2 linked regions of the Caenorhabditis elegans genome follow. The protein of the gene in region 2 interacts with the protein of the main gene of each other region in a biochemical or structural test. Each region holds a gene or a part of one and is shown on either strand. Other genes may lie near its edges.

The links.
Region 1: the proteins of ced-5 (region 2) and ced-2 form a complex in vitro, tested with the Caenorhabditis elegans proteins (one study listed by BioGRID).

What each region holds. Positions count from the first base shown.
Region 1 is NC_003282.8:1,593,059-1,603,981, reverse strand, and holds ced-2 (Cell death abnormality protein 2), read right to left. Parts: upstream 6,665-10,923; 5' UTR 6,663-6,664; coding exon 6,224-6,662; intron 3,805-6,223; coding exon 3,602-3,804; intron 2,811-3,601; coding exon 2,613-2,810; 3' UTR 2,361-2,612; downstream 1-2,360. Other genes in the region: putative histone-lysine N-methyltransferase set-23, read right to left, coding at 396-994; npp-8 (Nucleoporin_N domain-containing protein), read left to right, coding at 8,177-8,411, 8,471-8,567, 8,614-8,815, 10,028-10,585. UniProt on the Caenorhabditis elegans protein: Required for cell migration and engulfment of cell corpses but not for programmed cell death/apoptosis. Has a role in the migration of the 2 gonadal distal tip cells (DTCs).
Region 2 is NC_003282.8:10,480,540-10,489,757, reverse strand, and holds the start of ced-5 (Dedicator of cytokinesis protein 1), read right to left. Parts: upstream 5,649-9,218; 5' UTR 5,634-5,648; coding exon 5,603-5,633; intron 5,560-5,602; coding exon 5,203-5,559; intron 5,154-5,202; coding exon 4,960-5,153; intron 4,913-4,959; coding exon 4,776-4,912; intron 4,729-4,775; coding exon 4,511-4,728; intron 4,283-4,510; coding exon 3,194-4,282; intron 2,878-3,193; coding exon 2,799-2,877; intron 2,751-2,798; coding exon 2,619-2,750; intron 2,457-2,618; coding exon 2,171-2,456; intron 2,075-2,170; coding exon 1,913-2,074; intron 1,867-1,912; coding exon 1,550-1,866; intron 725-1,549; coding exon 649-724; intron 290-648; coding exon 133-289; intron 86-132; coding exon 1-85. Other genes in the region: F01D4.5 (PHD-type domain-containing protein), read left to right, coding at 6,110-6,215, 6,266-6,450, 6,495-6,638, 6,689-6,908, 6,949-6,965; egl-21 (Carboxypeptidase E), read left to right, coding at 7,991-8,167.

The sequences.
Region 1 (10,923 bases), 8.9 Mb from region 2:
AACCTCAAAACTTTTTCAGCGGTCTCGTTATGAAAATCAGGTAATTTCAGCATTTAAGCAACATATGTATCCTGTTTCAGAAAAAGTTTGGGTTTAGTATTCCCGTAATCCATCATATTGCATTGACCACTTTCACCGCTGCTTGCCCACTGAATACATAATTTTTTCACTTGGAAATTCTTTTAGCATCTGCAAAAAATATTTATTTATCAGTTTTAATAAGAAAAAACGGGAAAAAGCTGTGAAAAACAAAAGAAAACAGGCGGAAAACAAAGCAAGATAAATGGCCGCTGAAACTTGTCGGCCCCTCGGCCATGGCCTAGAAACCACTTTTCCTCATCCCTCGTGAGGAAAAAGTTGCAGTGAATACGTCACCAACGGCTTAAAAAAATCACCGTTTCGCAAAAATCCCCGCCGCGGGAATCATTCTGCCAAGGCGAGCCAAAATAATCTCACAATTCGGCTCACAGCTATGATTTAAAAACCGTCCGATATTTCCACGTAGGCGCGGGTCTACGAACGTTTTCACGGGTTTTCCACCGAAAAACTCCTTCAACGTAAGCGTATAATTATCGTCTCCTCGGAATTCTCGACATCTCCGTTCAACTTCTTGCTCGCCAATACATTCCCCAGCGTATTCGCACACAAATTCGCCGGCGGCTATCTGCTCGCCGGCTCGAACTCCGAATCCTTTTGCCATCTCACAAGTGCTGAAAATTTCCAGCTTTTTCTGTGGTCCACATTGCACAACTCGATTCCTACATGAAGTTGGGAGCAGTATGCAGGCACATTGATCGGAGCACTCGATTAGAAGCTCCGATGATTTATTGATTTTTCCATCGACAGTGTAATTATCGATTTTATTGATTAGACACGAGCAACCGGCGGCTGAAGAGCACTCAGCCTCGCAGTTACATCCTTCGAATACGTCATTCCAGTCGGTTTCAGAGATTCCTGGCCCGGGAATTGTGCTATCAATTTTCTCATAATTCATTATCTGAAATTTGAAATTTTTGTAAGTTTTTAGGCGGAAAAACAAAAAACTATCAGAAAATTGTCGAAATTCGAGAGAAAATCCATTTTTCAACATTTTTCCACGAAAAAAATCCGGATTTTTTCGCATTTTTAGGCGGAATCTCAGACGAAATTCGGAAAATTGTAATTTTTTTTGCCTCAAAAATTCGAATTTCTAGGCGAAATCTGCGAAAAAATGTTGGTTTTTTTTTTCACAAAAACCGTTTTTAACTAAAAAATTCACAAGAATTTATAGCAATTTCAAAGAAAAATCGAGAAAAATACGCCGAGCTTTCAAATTTTTTTTGTGATTTTTTCATACAAAATCGGATTTTTTTCTTGCAATTGAATGGAAATCTTGAAGAAAATTGTTCAAAACTCTGAAAAAAAAACTATAAATTATCTGAATTTCTAAAAAATTAAGAATTTTAGTGAAAAAATTCGGAATTTATCACATTTTTAGGCGGAATCTGTAACAAAATTATCGAAATTCGGGAGAAAATCCAGTTTTTAACATTTTTCTACTGAAATCCAAAAAAAAAAATCAAATTTTTCACATTTCTAGGCGGGATCTCAGACGAAATTCGGAAAATTATATTTTTTGCCCCAAAAATTCGAATTTCTAGGCGAAATCTGCGAGAAAATGGTTCAAATTTGGGGAAAATCTTTCAGCTTTAAGAGGAAACGGCGGGTTTTCAATAGAAATCTGAGAAAAAATCGGCAAAATTCGATAATGTGGCTTTAAAATCTAAATTTTCTGAAATTTTATTTTAAAAAACTGCACTAAACCGTTAAAAATCGTTTATAATTTAATTTTTCAGTTAATTTTCCCGTTTTTAAGTGAAAAATAGCTTGAAAAAGGTTTAAATTCGACAGAAAACAGAGTTTCTCCAAAAAAAAAACACCGCGTAAATCGACACAAGTTTAAAGGCGCAGTATGGAGAGTGAAAGGGTCTCGCAACGATGGCCCGGGGTATTTGAATTTTTCATAAAATAAAAGTTTTTTTCGTGAAAAAATGGCAAATTTGATCAAAATTTGTTGTTTTTTCGTGAAAAACAGTCGAAGTTCAGAGAAACTTTCCATTTTCCAGTTGAAAATAGAAAAAATTGACCGTTTTTTAGCCTGAAAAACCAGAATTTATTGCAATTTCAGAGAAAATTCGAAAAAAAAAGGCCGAAAATTCACCAAAATACGTCGAAAAATCGGATTTTTTTGCAATTTGCTGGAAATCTTCAAGTAAATTTTCAAAACTTTGAAAAAAACTCCAAAATTATGACATTTTTTTCTTAAAAAGTACTCTCAGAGGCTCTATAGCACCTCATTTTCCAACAAAAATTCGAAAAAATCATAATTAAAACGGTTTATTAATCATCCGGCAGGTTGAAAGGGAAAAGTGAACAAAATGGAATGGACACGAATTGGGGTTCGGTGGGCGGAAAAGGCAACGAAAATTGTGCATGATATCATTATAAATATAATTTGGAAAAAAAAACGATTTTTTTCTATGGTAAAGCTGTAATGTATTAGAGGAAAACTGGTGGAGGGGCAAGCGAATCAATAAATTTCAAGGTTAAAAATTTAGAAAAAAAAAACGATTTTATTCGCTGACGGCGGTGAATCTGAGGTATGTATGAGGCACCGAGCCAATTTGGCCGTCGAGTTCCGCTTTGTACATTCCGTTGGACATTTTCTGAGTTACAAGCACTGTTTGCCCCTTTTTCACACGCAATTGGGTCGGATCGTAGGCGTTTGGGACACGATCGAACGTCACTTTGGCTTTTGCTGGCAGACGGGGCTGAAATATTGAATTTTTTTTTCGGTTTAGGAGATGTTTTTCATGATAAAAATCGTTAATAATTTCATTTTTCAGTTAATTTTGCAGATTTTAGGTGGAAAATAACTTGAAAACGGCCTGAAAATAGAGTTTCTCCGAAAAAAAACACCGCGTAAATCGACACAAGTTTAAAGGCGCAGTAGGGTTGGTGGAAGGGTCTCGCAGCGATGAGCCGGATTTTTAAATTTTTTGAGAAAAAAAAAAAGTTTTTTTAAGTAAAAAGGTCAAAATTGATCGAAATTATTCGTTTTTTTTTGACAAAAACAGCCGAAATTCACTGAAATTTGACATTTTCCAACTAGAATTAATAAAAAATCATTGAATATTCATTAGAAAGATGGAAATTGACTGAAATTTCGCATTTTCCAATAGAAAAATCTAAAAATTGGTGTTTTCCGTGAAAAAATGTCAAAGTTGCCTGAAATGCTTCGTTTATTCTTGGAATATGGTCGAAATATTAGGAAATTTTCGATTTTTCCACTAGAAATGTTAAAAATTGACTGAAATTTCCATTTTTTTTTCAGTGAAAATTTCAAAATATGACCGAATTTTCACTAAAAACGGTAAAAATTGAGCAAATTTTTAAAGAGAAATTTCAGATCCAACTTTCCCATTAAAATTCTGTAATTTACAAGGAAAATCGTCTCGAAATTCGAAATTTTCCCATCGAAAAATGTCAAAAATTGACTAAAAAACGCAATTTTTCAGCAAAAAATCTGAAATTTGTGGATTTTTCCGGCAATTTTCCACACCTGGAGCTCAATATTATCACTGCTCGTGCTGGCGCTCGAAAATCGTTCGGCGCCACCTCCGCTGCTTCCGATCGACGATTGACTGGCGCCTTTTGAGGTTCTGTCATTGTGAAATTCCATCTGAATTTGTACATAGTTTGCCGGCACTAATCCAGTGGTTCCCAACGCGTTTCTCGCCTCCCACCAATCCTGGTTCGTTTTTGCTGGAAAAAAAAAATTATTAAAAATCTAGTATTTTCGAGGAAAATTACCGAAAAAAACTTGGAAAATGCACAAAATCTTGAGAAAAACGGGAGAAAATCAAAAAACACGGTTTTTTTTTCAAATTTTATGGTTTTTACAGGTAAAATTTCGTATTTCCATTATAAAATTCGTTTATAATTTTATTTTTCAGATAATTTTGCGGTTTTAAGTGAAAAATTGCCTTAAAAACAGTTTAAATTCGTCCGAAAATAGAGTTTCTCCAAAAAAAAACACCGCGTAAATCGACACAAGTTTAAAGGCGCAGTGGGGTGGGTGGACAGGGTCTCACAACGATGAGTCCGGGTTTTTGAATTTTTTCATAAAATAAAAGTTTTTTTCGTGAAAAAATGGCAAAATTGATCGAATTTTGTTGTTTTTTCGTGAAAAACAGTCGAAATTCGCAGAAACTTTCCATTTTCCAGTTGAAAATAGTAAAAATGACTGAAATTTCTTGTTTTCATTAGGAAAATAGTCATAATGCACTGAATTTCGCATTTTTCTACTAAACCGGGTTAAAATTAGGCGAATTTTGTAGAAAATCGCATTTTTCCATTGAAAAACGTAAATTTTTAACATTTTTGCGGCTTTTTGGATTAAAAAAATGTGGAAATTTACCAAAAGTTTCTGGTTTTCTTGAAAAACAGTCAAAATTTACCATTTTCCAATAAAAACAGGAGAAAATGGGTGGAAATTTACTGAAAATTGCTCATTTTCTCACTAACATGGTAACAATCGGAAATTTAAATTTGCCCATCGAAAACGTCAAAAATTAACTAAAAATCTCGATTTTTCGGCGATTTTAATTGAGAAATGGCTTGAGAAAGTGGTAAAATTTGGCAAAACTTGGTTTTTAATAGTTTTTTTTTTGCATTTGGCTTCAATTTCCCCGAATTTTCAGATTTTTTAATCGAAAAAGTGCTCTTAAAGCTCACAAAGAATCTCGAGCCGCTAAATCAGTGGATTTTCGGGGATTTCACGAGAAAACTCATTTCTCGTAGTTTAAATGGCATTTTCCGAACCTTTGGTCTTTCTTCTCTAAGAAGTGCTCGAGATTCCAGAAATTGATTTTTTTTCCAGAAAAAAACGTTATAATTGTGAGGAAATCGACATTTTTTCTTGCATTTGGCACTATTTTCTCCGTATTTTTAGATTATTTAAAGGTGGACTACGCTCAGTGGGGAAATTGCTTTAAAACACGCCTATGGGGTCACAATGACAGAATATCATGATTAAAAAATTCAAAATTTTTTTTTATGATTTTAAATGATTTTTTGAAAATTGAAAAAATCTCAGTTTTCACCTAATTCCTATTTGAATTTCCGCCAATTGAACTCGTTCGTTGGAGCGCGCTTGCATTATTTTCATTAATTAATTCTATTTCTTCTCATTATTGGACTGATTTTCTTCATTTTTTGTGGTTTTTCATCGGAAAATCGAAGAAAACAACAAGAAAAATGCAAAATGATTTTTTAAAAGTAACTGAAAATGCGTAAAACTGTAAAATATACTAATTTCAGGCTTGTCGTTGTCAGAACTCAAGAAATCACAGTTTTAGAAAATTTCAGTTAATTTTTAACAAACAATTTGCATTTTTCTTGTTTATTTCTCTTCCATTTTCCGATGAAAAACTCCAAAAAATGAAGAAAATCAGTCCAATAATGAGAAGAAATAAAATTTTGAAAATTAATGAAAATAATGCAAGCGCGCTCCATTGAAAAAATCCAATTGGCGGAAATTCAAAAATAATTAGGTGAAAACTGAGATTTTTTTTCAATTTTCAAAAAATCATATAAAATCAGGGAAATTTTTTTGAATTTTTTAATCATGATATTCTGTCATTGTGGCCCCATAGGCGTGTTTTAAAGCAATTTCCCCACTGGGTCCGCCTTTAAAAAATCTAAAAATTCGGAGAAAATAGTGCCAAATGCAAGAAAAAATGTCGATTTCCTCACAATTATAACGTTTTTTCTGGAAAAAAAATCAATTTCTGGAATCTCGAGCACTTCTTAGAGAAGAAAGAACAAAGGTTCGGAAAATGCCATTTAAACTACTAGAAATGTCAATTTTCTCGTGAAATCCCCGAAAAATCCACTGATTTAGCGGCTCGAGATTCTTTGTGAGCTTTAAGAGCACTTTTTCGATTAAAAAATCTGAAAATTCGGGGAAATTGAAGCCAAATGCAAAAAAAAAACTATTAAAAACCAAGTTTTGCCAAATTTTACCACTTTCTCAAGCCATTTCTCAATTAAAATCGCCGAAAAATTGAGATTTTTAGTTAATTTTTGACGTTTTCGATGGGCAAATTTAAATTTCAATAAAGCAAGTTCCCCACAGGGTTTAGTCCACCTTTAATCAAAAAAGTGCTGCTTTAAAGCTCACAAAGAATCTCGAGCCGCTCTCCTTGCTCAAACGGAAGATCTGTCTCTCGTTCCCCTGTGAATTTGAATGTTCCGACGACAACCTCAATGATAGGCTTCTTGTAGGCGGCCAGCAGGCTTGCCTCAGTCAAAACTCGCATTTTAAAATGATTCAACAACGCCGGAATGTCTGGAAACGACTGATTCGCGATTTTCACGCCAGCTGCAGCAGTTCCATCTTCTTTCGGTTCTCCTCTTTCAATCAAATAATGACAAACGGCATTTCCCTCGTCGGCTTCACGTACTGTCAGTGAATATTCACCGGGGCGTGAGCTATCCCGCATTAGGAAGGTGCCGATCGATACTTGTGGCTCGCCGAGCAACTTGTGAGCCTCTTCACGGCTCATTCCTGGGAAGTAGAATGAACGCCACTCGAATGGATCGAACCCGTTTGTCGTCATTTCTGAAAATGCGGGAAATTGTTTAGAAACGTGGAATTTTTAGGCGCGCAAAATTGGTCAAAGTTGGGAAAATTTTCTGGAAAACGTAACCCAAATAGACGGAAAATCATCAAAAATCACGAGAAATTCCTAAAAATCCAGAAAAAAAAGACGAAAAATCAAGAAAAATTATATAAAAGGGGAAAGTTTTTTCGGCTGAAAAATGCTTAAAATCTTGTTTTTGAGAGCGAAAATTTATGAAAATCGGCCAAAAATCACCATCTTTGAGAAGAAAACGCAAAAATCTTCAAAAAAAAAATCAAGAATTTCGTGGGAAAAAATATTTTAAAATGAATAAAAATATGATTTTCAACCTAAACATTGCTGAAAATGTGAAAAAACGGGTGAAAATTCGATTTTTTAAAGGAAAACGAGTCAATATAGGCAGAAAATTGGATGAAAAAGTTGGAAATTGAATAATAATTAGCGTGATTTTCCAAGAAAATCAAGGAATTTCCATTTAAAAAATTCAGGAAATGAACAAAAATGGATGTTTTTTTGGCTGAAAAAATGCTGAAAATCAGTTAAAAATCGGCCAAAACTTGCGTGGAAAAATCAAAAAATCAGGAATTTCGTTGGAAAAGTACCTTAAAATGGCAAAAAATAAGATTTTAAAGAAAGAAATTGCTGAAAATCGTGGTTTTGGCACAGAAAATCTAGTAATTCTAGTGAAAATTTCTGAAAAATAAATGAACATTGGAGAAAATGGTACTTTTAGGAAGAAAAATCGATTGGACACAGTGAAAATTTTCAAATTTTGGTAGGAAATGGCGAGTTTTAGGGAAAAAGAGGGCAAAATAGTTGAGTTTTTCGGCTAAATTATGGGAAAAATGAAGAATTTTTTTGAAAAACTGTGTTAAAAAATTGGAAAACATGGCGAAATCGAGAATTTCGAGCAGAATAAGCAGGTTTTTAGGCTAAAGTTCGGTTTTTAGTAGAAGAAAATTGAAAAATACGCTTAAAACCTTTATTTTCGAATATATTTCATACTAAATTTACCGATTTCTTGTTTTTATACGCATTGAAACACCAATTATTCGTAAAAATGAGGAAATTGATGAGCAATTTTCCCAGGCAATGACTCATAAGCTTCTTGTCGACTGGAGCCAAAGTTTACACATTTTAAATACGTATTTTACGATGCGCAACCGCAAAAAATCAAGAAAATCTCCGAAAACTGGTGAGAAATTGCAAACAAACGACTTTTTTTGCACGCAAAAATAAATTGTCAGCTGTTGCGCTTGTCCGAGAGGAGTACACGATGAGGTGTGCGGGGGACTTGCAACACGCGACCCCGCCCACTTTTCCGCGCCGCATTGCAATTTGAATTCGGAATTTTGCGCGAAAAGTTGCGTTTTGCGGGAAGTTTTCCGGGTTTTTTACAGTTTTTTGCTATAATTTTCAAGTTTAAAGGTTAAAATATCAAAAATCACTCAAAATTTTCCGACTTTTTCAGCAGCTTTCCATCCTCCGAGATGAGTGTCTCGTTTATGGAGTTGGGCTCGGCCGACTCGGCAGAAGCGGCGGCGAACAAGGTGGCACACCACGTCGAGCAGATGATGGAGACATCGGATTTCTTCGATCGCCTCACACAACACGGCACGACGCCCGTCTCCGGTCTCGGCGAGAAGTTTTATGTGAAGGGAGCGCCGGAGTTTGTGAGCACACGGCGAATCCCAATACCCGGAGAGCTTCAAATGCAAATGAGCAGTGAGAGAGCATTGTTTCCGATGGGGGGGTTTTTCAGCGAAAAATTGGTGAATTTTCAGATATTCACAGCGAGTTTAGCATGGGATTCTTCACACAAATCAGCCGAGTTTGGGTCGTCATTGATAACAATCTCTATATGTGGAATTACGAGACAAAGTAAGCGGAAAAGCCGAAAAATACCGAAAAAAAATCGAATTTTCAGCGACGATTTGGCGTTTTTCGACTCATCAGACGCTGCAATTCTGAAGGTGTCGCTGGTGAACATCAAGCCAGGCGTTTTTGAGCCGGAAATTCAATATGGGCTCGTTGTCGGCACAATTTCCGATATATGTCTTTATCCGGTCTTTGATTTCGTGGAAAATGGCGCCAGTAGCATTTCTATCGACTCAAAACGATGCTTCAAGGTTCGAAATTCGAGTGAAAATGGAGAAAAAAGAAGGAAGAATTACCAAGAAAACCCAAGTTTTTGAATCAAAAATCGCAAAAGTTTGGAGATTTTGAGTCTTCAAAACACGGGAAAATCGATGTTCCGTGCGATTTTTACTTAAAAATCGACAAAAAAAATTTAAACAACGGGATTTTTCGTCTATTTCTAGCTCAAATTTGCTGATAACGCTTTTCTGTTTTTTTTTCTACTCGAAAACTTGAAAATCCGAGTTTCTGACTAATTTTTTGAGTCTTCAAAGCAATTTTACATCAAAAATGCTCATTTCAAACCAAAAATTGGGGATTTCGATAATCTTCAATTTTTATTCGTTTTTTTTAGAACAATTTGTCGTTGAAAACGCTCATTTCAAGCCGAATTTTCGAAAATATGTGTTGTTTTATGCGAAAATCTCCAATTTTTCATTTATTTTCCGATAAAAAAAGCTCATTTTAAGCCTAAATTTTCCCAAAAATTGAGCTTTTCAACAATTTCTCTAGAAAATCGCAAATTTCCATTAAAAAGCTCAATTTTTTTTGCGAGAATTTTTCAAAAATGAGCTAAAATTTCGAAAATAACAGTAATTTTCGACGAGAAACTTCAATATAACACAAAAACGGTATTTTCAAGCCAAATTTTTTTCTAAAAAATTTAAAATTTTGAAAATAAACACAGTTTTTTGCGGAAATCTTCAATTTTTCATTAATTTTTCTGAAAAAAAAGCTCATTTTAAGCCAAAATTTTCCTTAAAAATCTGAAATTTCCAGCACTTTACTATAATTCCAGTACATAAAAACGCTCCTTTTAAGTCTATTTTTTTTCTAAAATTGAGCTCAAATTTTATTTTTTCACATAATTTCCAGAAAAATCTTCCATTTTCAGCAATTTCTCTAGAAAATCGTCAAATTTTTATGTTGTATCTGGCAAATCCCCATTAAAAAGCTCAATTTTAAGCCAAAATTGTTCTGAAATGAGCGAAAATTTTGAAAATATCACTAGTTTTAGACGATACTCTTTATTTTTTTTAAATATATTTTCTGAAAACGAAACCCATTTCAAGCCAAAATTATCATAAAAATCCCCAAATCGTCAATTTTTATATGAATTTCATCGCAATTTTACATTGGAAAACACTCCAAAAATTGAGCTTTTTCAGCAATTTCTCTAGAAAATCCCCAATTTTTTTTTTCAGATAGCCCTTGACGGAGCAACAGTGAATGATATTTCGTATACTTCAAATGGTCGAGTATTCTATACAGCCGACGATCAACTCTTCGAATTCGTCTACGAGAAACAAAACGGATGGTTTGGCTCCACAAATCACAAGTGTCGAGGTGTAAATCAAACTGCATCAATTCTCGGAACACTGATCTCTCTACCATTCTTCGGCTCTTCAAAAGAGCCCCTCGATCAGATTACAATCGATAAATCCCGAAATATCATGTATTTGCTCGGCCGAGCCGGCACCGTCAGTGTCTGGGATCTCGGAGCGGATGGAGCAGCTTGTGCCAAATTTTTGAGTGTTCCCATCTCGAAAATTGCACATGAAGCTCATATTCTGACGCAATTCGGTCACGATGAGACATCTTTTCACAGTATTACATCGATTAAGGCGTTGGAAGCTTCACAATCGGCTGCGCTTAACCTAGTTGCAACTACTGCCAAAGGAGTTCGATTGTACTTTTCAGTGTCGACGGGCCCGCAGTCTACGATGGCTATGTTTAATAATAGTGGAACACCTAATGAAAGAGTTCGTTTTTTAGCCGAAAATTTGGAAAAATCGGGATTTAACAAACAAGAGTAAAAAAAAAGAGTAAAAAAGTTGTATCTAGTTTTTAAACCAATGCTCTCGTCGAAAGTTTTTTACTTTAAAAAAAACCATTAAAAATTAGATATTTTCGAGCTTTCTGGGCAAAAATTGTAAAATTTTCGGCCGAAACCCAGGAAACTGAGCGATTTTTTCAAATTCACTTTTTTTGAAGCTCCAATCAATTTTAGAGCAGAATTTCAAGACTATAAAAAGTTAAAGGTGGAGTACCGAAATTTGAGACTTTCCTTTTTTTAGACCCAAAATAATCCAAAACTACC
Region 2 (9,218 bases):
GCTTCACGAGTTTCATCATCATCTACTAGTGATACTTTGAGGAATGATCCAATCATACTCGGAATGTAGTTCAATTTCTGAGAGGCTGAAATAAATTTGATCATTTTTTGGGATTTAATTGAAATTATTCACGTGTCAATCGGAACCACATGCTCCGAAGATCTTTTGCTGCAGCTTTTCTTAATTGAATCCTCATGTCTTCATCTTCATTTTTCATCCATTCATGTTTAGAATTGAGTCCTTCTTGTGTTACAAATGAAACTACTGTTACCATATATTCTCTCCACATCTGTAATTTAATTTTTTTTTAATTATAAACTTATTTTTTGGCACTTAAAAAAGCCGATTGAAACCGATGTGAAAACGCGCTCCACGGACAATTGAAAACGCTCCGCCCCCCGATCTATGGGTCTCATTAGGTAATTGGCAAGAAGACTGTTAATCCAAATACTTTCAGTTAATTTTGCCGATTTCTCCATTTTCAAGCATTTTTCGGCTTGAAGGTTTGAATGTACACCTCTGCGCCAAATACCTAACGAGACCCATGGATCGGGGGCGGAGCGTTTCTGATTGGCAGTGGAGCGCCTTTTCATGTTGATCTACAGCGGGACATTTTTCCCCGTATTACATAATTTGTGAATTCTTTACCTCAACGCAGAATTTGTCATTGGAGAAGAATGTTTGAACTGCCGACATGACGAATCGTAATGATTTGTGGATCACTCTGAAATTCGATTTTTTTTCCGTGTTCAATATAGAAATGAAAGCATTTTCTTATTTTTCTCTATCCCTCCATTATTAGACTGGGATAAAGCGGAACAGAGCAAAGGGAAAAGTGAGGAAAAATGAAAAAAAAAAAGATTGTTTGCACTGTGAACACCCAGCAATGACTTGACAATACAATTCCTCAAATTTGACCTTCAGTTTATGTTCTTGCTTACGATATTCCAAATTTCAAATATTTTTTTGAATGAATACTGATGAATTATATTAACCAGACATGACATTTTGCGCCAAAAGTACGGTACCCGGTCTCGACACGACAAATGTTTAAAAATTCCAAGAGGTCTCCGCCTTTAAAAGAGTACATACAAAACATTTGAATGTGAAATTCCGATTTCGAGAAATTTTTTTAAATAACTCAAAAAATACATGAAAAATCAAATTTTCAATATCACCACTCGAGTGTGACGCATTAAATACAAATTTTTTGTATGTTAAAAAATTGTTTAGACTTGTTTTTGTATAAAAATCAGGAAATTTCGGCAACATTTTTTTTGAACAATTTTTTTCTCAACTTTTGTCTCAATTCGCGATTTTTTATTGAAAATAGAAAAAATTTGAAAAATTTATGGAAAAATGTTCTATAAATTTATCAAAAATATGTTGACTTTCATGTGAAAAATAATATTTATTTTAATAGAAAGTCATCGAAAATTATTGAAAAATTGGATTTTTCTGAAAATGAAGAAACCGACCCTTGGTTTAAAACTACAGTACTTTTCAGACAATTTTGGCGCGAAAAAACCGAAAATTTATTTAAACTCACTTATTCTGCAACATTATCATATCTTTCCAAGTAGATGGGAAGGCATTTCGATTGAGTAAATCTCGAATCATTTGAACCATTTCCATGAGAAAATCACGTTTATCAATATCCGATGATCGCTCTTCCACATATTCACTAAACATTTGGGCGGACATTTTGTCTAATAATGCCAATATTACAGAGAAAAAGTGACCACGAGCATCATCATCAGTGTGCTTGTCGTCGTGGATTACTCGAATCATTGCTTGAACAAGTGGACGATAAACCATTAAAATGAATGATGTCAATTCTCTCTCAGCGTTACCTTCACCACTTTTCTGTAAAATATGAAATACTTGTCATGTACGAATGATAATCTAGTACCGCGTCAGCGAATAGTCTCTCCAGAATAGCAGCAATAATACTGGCACACTCAGCGGCACGATCTGCAAATTCTCCTTTTTCGGTTGCCATATTGTCGATTTGTATTATGTCAAGAGCGATTTGAAGACATGGAATCAGAAGTTGTTCTCGGCAGATTGAAAGCTGAACATTTATTTAATTCGGATATTTTGTAATTTTTGCATGAAGACAAATTATTGGGAACTATCTAAAATAATGTATCTAAAGATATTTCCTTACCGAAAAGAACCGAGTTTCCACAATCTGTGCAATAAAATTGAGCCGCTCACGAGTAACAATATTTGATCCAAAATTATTCATCAAATCAACAATAAATCCACAAAGATTCTCTGGAGATACCGAATCGCTTTCATTGAGCAAATCAATTATCGTCGGAATACTTTTAAGAGCTGTATTCTGAACAGTCATTTTTGCTTTCTTTTCTGACATGAGAGCTACGAGTGATTTCATAAATTCTCGAAGATATTGCTTATAAGTCTTTTCGAAATCGTCGAACTCTTCGAATCTGAAAACAAAAAAAAATGAATTTTGACAGTGAACTGGTGAATCAATCGAACTGTGACCTTAAACCGGTTTTTCATGATATTGCTTATTTTTTCAGTTTTGGTTTGCGAAGTTTGGAAATCAAAAAGATGAAATTTCTGATTTTTTAATTTGGAAAACGTACTTTATTCCACATTTCTTCGACACGACAACTAATTTGAAGAGAGGACCCATAACTTTGAATGCATTTCTCGCTTTCTCATTTGAATCTTCTGAATCCGAGATGACATAGTGATTGAGACACTTTAGAATTTTTCTGGAAACAAAGGAATTTGAATTATACGTGTAATCTATGAAAACTTACAGTGCCGCTGAAGTAAATGAAAATCGTTTCAGATACACTTCGAATATTTTTGCAGCCTGTGGGTAGTGTCGTGGCTCCTCTGAAATATTAAAATAAATAACTTTATCCAAAAAGAAATATTTGAAAAAAAAATTTATGGTCAGCTGCACCGCTAGTTTTTTTTTTGATAAAAAAATTTTATCTTAAGAAAAATTTCTCGGAAAAAATATGGCAAGAATTTCAAAATTTCATTCAAACATTTTTGGCGGAGAATTCAAATGTTCTCTGGCAATTTTTCGACGGATAATTCAATTTTGTCAGGAAACATTTCAGCGAAAAATTGTAATTTGCTTAACAAATATTTTCGCCGGAACTTTTCTCTAACTGAACAAAATGTCAGAAAGCTGTACACTTACCACAAATTCTTAAAACCGCCACGATAACATCAAAAACGACTTTCTCCGAAGTCTCACGATCATGCCAAATTTCAAAGAGTGCATCCAATAAATGTGAGAAGAATCGAATCATTTCGTGTTCCGTATCTCCAATTGGTTGAGCAAGAGCCACCAATGAAGATGTAAGGTTGACACAATTTACACGCCATCTCAACACATTCAACAAATGCTCATTTTGAGTTAACATTGAAGAACATGAATGAGTGGATATCATCACAAAACTTTTATCACTCAAACTAAAACCCTGTGAATGAGGTTTCGCGCTTCCAATTGATTCTTTGAGTGTTCTTCTGGTATCAGGTAAGTTCATATAATGTACATTTGATTCATCAAAGTGAGATCCTGGATTATCAATTTTGTAGACAGCCAAGTCATGTTCACCATCACAGAGTAGAGCACTACTTCGAATGAGTTGAACATGTGCAATTGCAAATGGTCCTTTTTCTGGTTTTGGTTTGTCATATGCTTTCTTCGAATAAAATAAGATCCGAAGGTATACATCATGAGAAGCACATGAGGGAAGAGCAATTTTTATTGGTTCCGTCCACATTGGTTTGTCAGTATGATAAACTACAATACTCTTGTAGACAGTGCTAAGTTGCGAACCAGTAACCGAAATAGTCTCAAAAACATTTTCCATAACATGTCCATTTGATTCCACGACATGAAGACGTGCCTCAATGTTACGATCAGATGATTTTCCAGATAATTCAGCCTGCATTAAAGTAATATACATCTCATTTCGACTATCTTCAATTGAAACTGCTGTTCTATCAGCTCTTCGTAGAATCGCCGCTGGACATCTACTGAACAAATGTGGGTGTCTTGCCTTGATTTGAGAAACATTTCCAGGAACTAATTGGGTACTTATCAATAGTTTTGTTTCCATATCGTTGCTTAAATTCTTCGGTATACGATTTGTAGCGTGATATGCTTTTAGAGATAATGGAAGTTCTGGTTCTCGATTCAGGAAAATTACACGTTCTTTTGCTTCGTGGCCAACACCAGCAAGAAAGATGCTTGACATTTCCATGATGTCCGAGGCGTACGCTGAAAGTAGCAGCAATAAATTTTTGTATTCCAACCAGGGTTGCGCGGCAATTACTAACCGGTAATTCTACAAAATCAGGCAGTGGGCATGTTCTTCCAATATTTTTCATTAAAATTTAGTGATATTGATAGGCGAAAATAAAAATAAAAAAACCAATTTTCGCCAAAAATTGGCGAAAATTACTGGGAGAACATGCTACACTAGCTCATTTTGTGATTTAAACTCACATTGCCTACAATAAAATGTCTTTGGTATAGTTGCTTCGTGATGTCCATGCTTTCTCATCGTAGCATTAGAAGATTCAATCGGTGATACATGAACAACTCGAGTTACCATCAAATACTTTTTCTGAATATCTTCTTTTGCAAAATCAGTGAACAGTGCTTTCAAATTTAAATCCGTGTGTTTTCCACTACCGCTGTTCCAGAGAAATGTATAACTATCTCTGAAAATAATGCAACTATTGTCTTTTTCAGAAAAATTGTGAGTTACGTGGTGAACATTTTCTTGTCCAGATCATATAGTGATATGCTTATTTCACAGGAATATTTACAATGGAGTTCGACAGATTTAATGGAGAGCAGCAATGAGAAACTATCGTTGATTGTAACATTTTCAGGTTTCTCCCGCTGAAAATTTGAAAAATATATTGCTTGTAAGAGAAAAAATAGTATACCATCAATGATCCGACCCTTCCTTTCGAAGAAATGTGTGCTTCATATGTTCTAAGAAGTGAAAGTGATTCAACGTCAAGCGGAACACCCTCTTCATTGCGAATCACTACATCTTGGCCAAGAATTGTATTTCCACGGTCTACCAGTTTTGAAACGCGCAATCGGAGTTTGCTCAACTCTTCAATTGGAATCCCACCTAAAAGCATAATTATTTTACTATATTCCTGATAAAGAAACAAAATTACCACTTTCGATTTTAGTTTTTATTATTAGTAGTTCATTAAAACTATCCATCAAGTCTTCGAATGATCCAATCCTTGTCGTTTCCACCATCAATTCTTTAATTTTGGTCCACCATTCATTAATAACTCTGGAAATTTCATCCACAACGAGATATCCGTCACTTGTCGATACGAACATGGACTTTTGAACGATTTGTACATAGGCAAGTGGAAAAATCCCACATTTTCCATTTTTCTCGTCAAATTTTCGACCATATCCCCACTCTCCGTGCTGCCCGTAAACACATATTCGATCGCCAATAAAAAGTTCTAATCGTGGAGCATCACAAGATGGAAGCGGATCCTCAAATGTGTATTGAACTGAAAAATAAGATATTTAAATAGTTGCGAAGTGAAAACAAACCGATTGCATAATAGAAACCCGTCGTTGCCATTACGAACTCATTTATCTGAAGATTTAAGCTTGAATTTTCAATTAAAACGGACAATTTAATTTAAAACTACGTTATATTAATTTAAAATATCAAATATAAATATACAAATCAAAACGGAGACAGTTTCTGTGAGAAACAAACGTAAATATCACGAGAACTGTTTATTTCTGATGAGTAACTGTTTATCCGAGAGGAGTCCACAAACCGTGGCCGAGGATTTATGCTTGTGGAACCTAGGCCATTGTTGCCGGGAGAATGAATTTGGAAGTCAATTGGCAGAATAACCGTATACGTTTTGGATTCCATTGAATTTTTAACAGTTTTAAATTTAATATTTTAATAGTTAATGTATAACAAAACCGATAAAATGCATGTTTTGTCATAAATATAATGTGAATATCTATATTTTATGGTAACTTCGTGTTATATTTTTAAATTTTTTTCTATAGAATCAGAAAAAAAATTCCAGAAAACCAATGGAAATTGATGATCTAGAATCTACATCAAATTCAGTGCATAAATCACCACCCAAAAAACGGAGACGTGTGAAGAAGAAGAAAAGAAATGAGGAAGATGAAGAGTGTAAATTGGTTTTTATAATAAAAATATTTTTTCTTCACTTTGATTTACAGACGAAGAGAACAAAAATATGGCCACTCAAATAAATCAAAAATTTGGTTCAAAGTATAAATCAAATAGAAAAGATGAGACTCCGATGTTTGAAGTGAGAAATGGAAAATCAGTTATCAAAAATTCGGGGAATCACGAAGCAACTGTCAATCGAACTTTGGATTTTCACATGACAAAGCTTTTTCAGGTACGATTAAAATGATAAATCTAATTTTTATTATTAATTTTCAGTGGGAAGAGCAGTCAGACGCCATTGAATCTTCCTATGTGTGTGCATTGTGCCACGAAAATGGAGAGAAACGAGAACTTTTTGGACCATATTATGCAACACATAATCCAATTAAATATTGGCCATCTTTCCTGGCTAAGAAACCTGTAACAACCCATCCCATTCTCTAAAATCTAAAAATTAATTAACTTTTCAGACTGCCAAAAAACCTACAAAAATCGAATTATGGTTCCATGGCTCATGTGTTTTATGGGCTCCAAATGTGCATCTTCACGGCAATCAGCTAACAAATCTGGATAATCAAATCGATATTTTCTGGTCTCAAACGTGCATAGTTTGCCGCAAAACTGGTGCCGCAATTTCTGTACAAAATAAGAAAAACACGTTCATTCATTACCCATGTGCCAAAAACAAAGGTACAGACATTCCAGACAAAATACCTCCCACTCTTATCAGTTTTTTACAGGCTATAAACTCGACGAGCACGCTCTCTTGTGCAATTCGTGAAAAATCGATTCTCATTTCTCATCAAACAAGTTTTGCTTTTCAATTATGTTTTTTTTTCATTTTTTACATTCTCATGTCCCATGTTTTACCAATTGCACACTGAAACAACGAAATAAAAGATTTCAGTTTTATAATACAAATTTAATTTTATTGAAACTCCACATTTTCGCAACACTTGAATAACGATTCTTGTTATTATTGGGATGCAGAAAATTTCCTCTTTTTGAAATCTAGGTGATGACGCTCCGCCCCCGAGTCACGGGTCTCGTCAGGAATTTGGCATAAATTTCAACCATCTTTTGTCTATTTTGTTATTTTTAGTTTTCTGAAAATTTCAAGTCTTAAATTTTGCCATAAAATCATTAAAAAGACGAGAAAGCTGAAAAAATTTGAAAACAATCGAATTTACGGATTTAACTCCAAATACCACGAGACCCATGGTTCGGGGGCGGAGCGTTTTCAATTAACCAAGGAGCGAGTTTTCACGTCGATTTCAAAAAGTCATTTTTCTGCTTCCCTATAATAGGCTAAAAATGTTGGCGAACATTTACCTATCAGATGCGCTCGCGCGTCAATGAAAAGTGAATAACAATTCAAACGCAATTTTTGAAATTTCACCCCGAAAAAGTGACACGTCATTGAATTTTTTCTAAAAGAAGGAAATTAGCATGAGCTTAAGCTATCTCTTTCACTCTCGACCCCCGCTTTCATTTACTTTCTCTTTCAGACCTCAGAGACGCAGAAAAGCGCTCTTGAGAGTAAGCCGTTGAGCAACGTCATCTGAAAAAATAGAATAAAGGGAAAAGCTGGTCTCCACAGCGCGCGACATTTCTCTAACCCCTCTTTCCCCCCTCATTTTCTTCATTCAAACATCCAGTGAGCTCCATATCGATCGAAGGCGTGCTCTTTTTCAGACACAGACAACTAGAGAGTCCACGGCTTCTTCTTCTTCTTCAAGTGAGGGGCTCCGTCACTTTTCTCTCATTCTAACATGCTGCACGCGATGCGGCCGGTGCTTTTGGTTGCGGCTCTTCTAGCCGTTACCGCCCACGCCTTCCTCGGATTCGGAAGCGGATCCACACACAAGGACGATGCCGAATGGGGACACTATCACAATCAAGCACAACTTGAAGCAAAGTTGGGAGAAATCAATGAAAAGTGCCCAGAGGTGAGTGGAAATTGGGTTCTAAACTTGAATTTTTGAGTGAATGATGTTTTCGAGCCGTGCTAGGAAATCTGAAATTTTTTTTTTAATTTTCTCGTTTTCTTCGGAGAGAAGCCTTTTTTCTACGAAACTTCTTTTGAAACTATTTCCAACTAGAATATTAAAAAAGAACAAAAAAAATCCAGAAACGGATTCCCATAGCCACGAGATTTCCGTTCGCTGTTTCTAGGAGAATTTGAATTTATTATTTTGGTTGTTCATTCCTACAAAACATTTGGGATTAAGTATTTCATGAGTAGCTGTTTAAAGATCAATTTATCAAAATGACTCAACAACTAGTTCCTTCGGTTTATCCATTTTTTTAATTAAAGAAAATGAAAGTATGTGCCAGAAATTAGCCAAATTTTCATTTTCGTTTTTGACTTGGTAATTGGAATTTTATAAAATGACGTCTTCTTAAAAAAGGAACCAAACGAACATAGCCCCATATTAGGTAGACTTTCCAAATTATCGCGAAATGCGTTCTCATAACTTGGCAGAAATTACGCAACAGAATGTTGTGAAGTCATAGTTTCTTAATAGTTTTAAAACTTAATGAGTGTTTTTTTTGGAAAAAATAAACATTTTCAAAAAGCTTCCAGAAATTGAAGTTACATTGATTTCGTCAGAAGTCCAAAAGTGATATGAACTATGTTTAATATTCTCCAATTAGTCTGAATTCATAAAAAATCCCATTTAGAACATGGTTTTAATCTAAACTTCCGAATAAAATTCTGACGTAGATGGGCACAAAGTTAACTACGTTCTCACGTTTAAGTGTATCAGCGTCATCAAAGATGAATCTTGGTAATTGAATTCCAAGCTTTTCGATCAAAAGAACACTTTCCAACTGTTCTAGAAATTGTTTACCAACGCGTTCATCATCTGATTTAGATGAAAGAAGGTTTTTGAGAAAAGATTTTAAAGACCTTTTAGATATTTATCGTCTATTTTTAGGCCATACTGTAACTCTTCAGTTAGCCCACTTCATTCATTGAATTGACGTGGCTTTCAG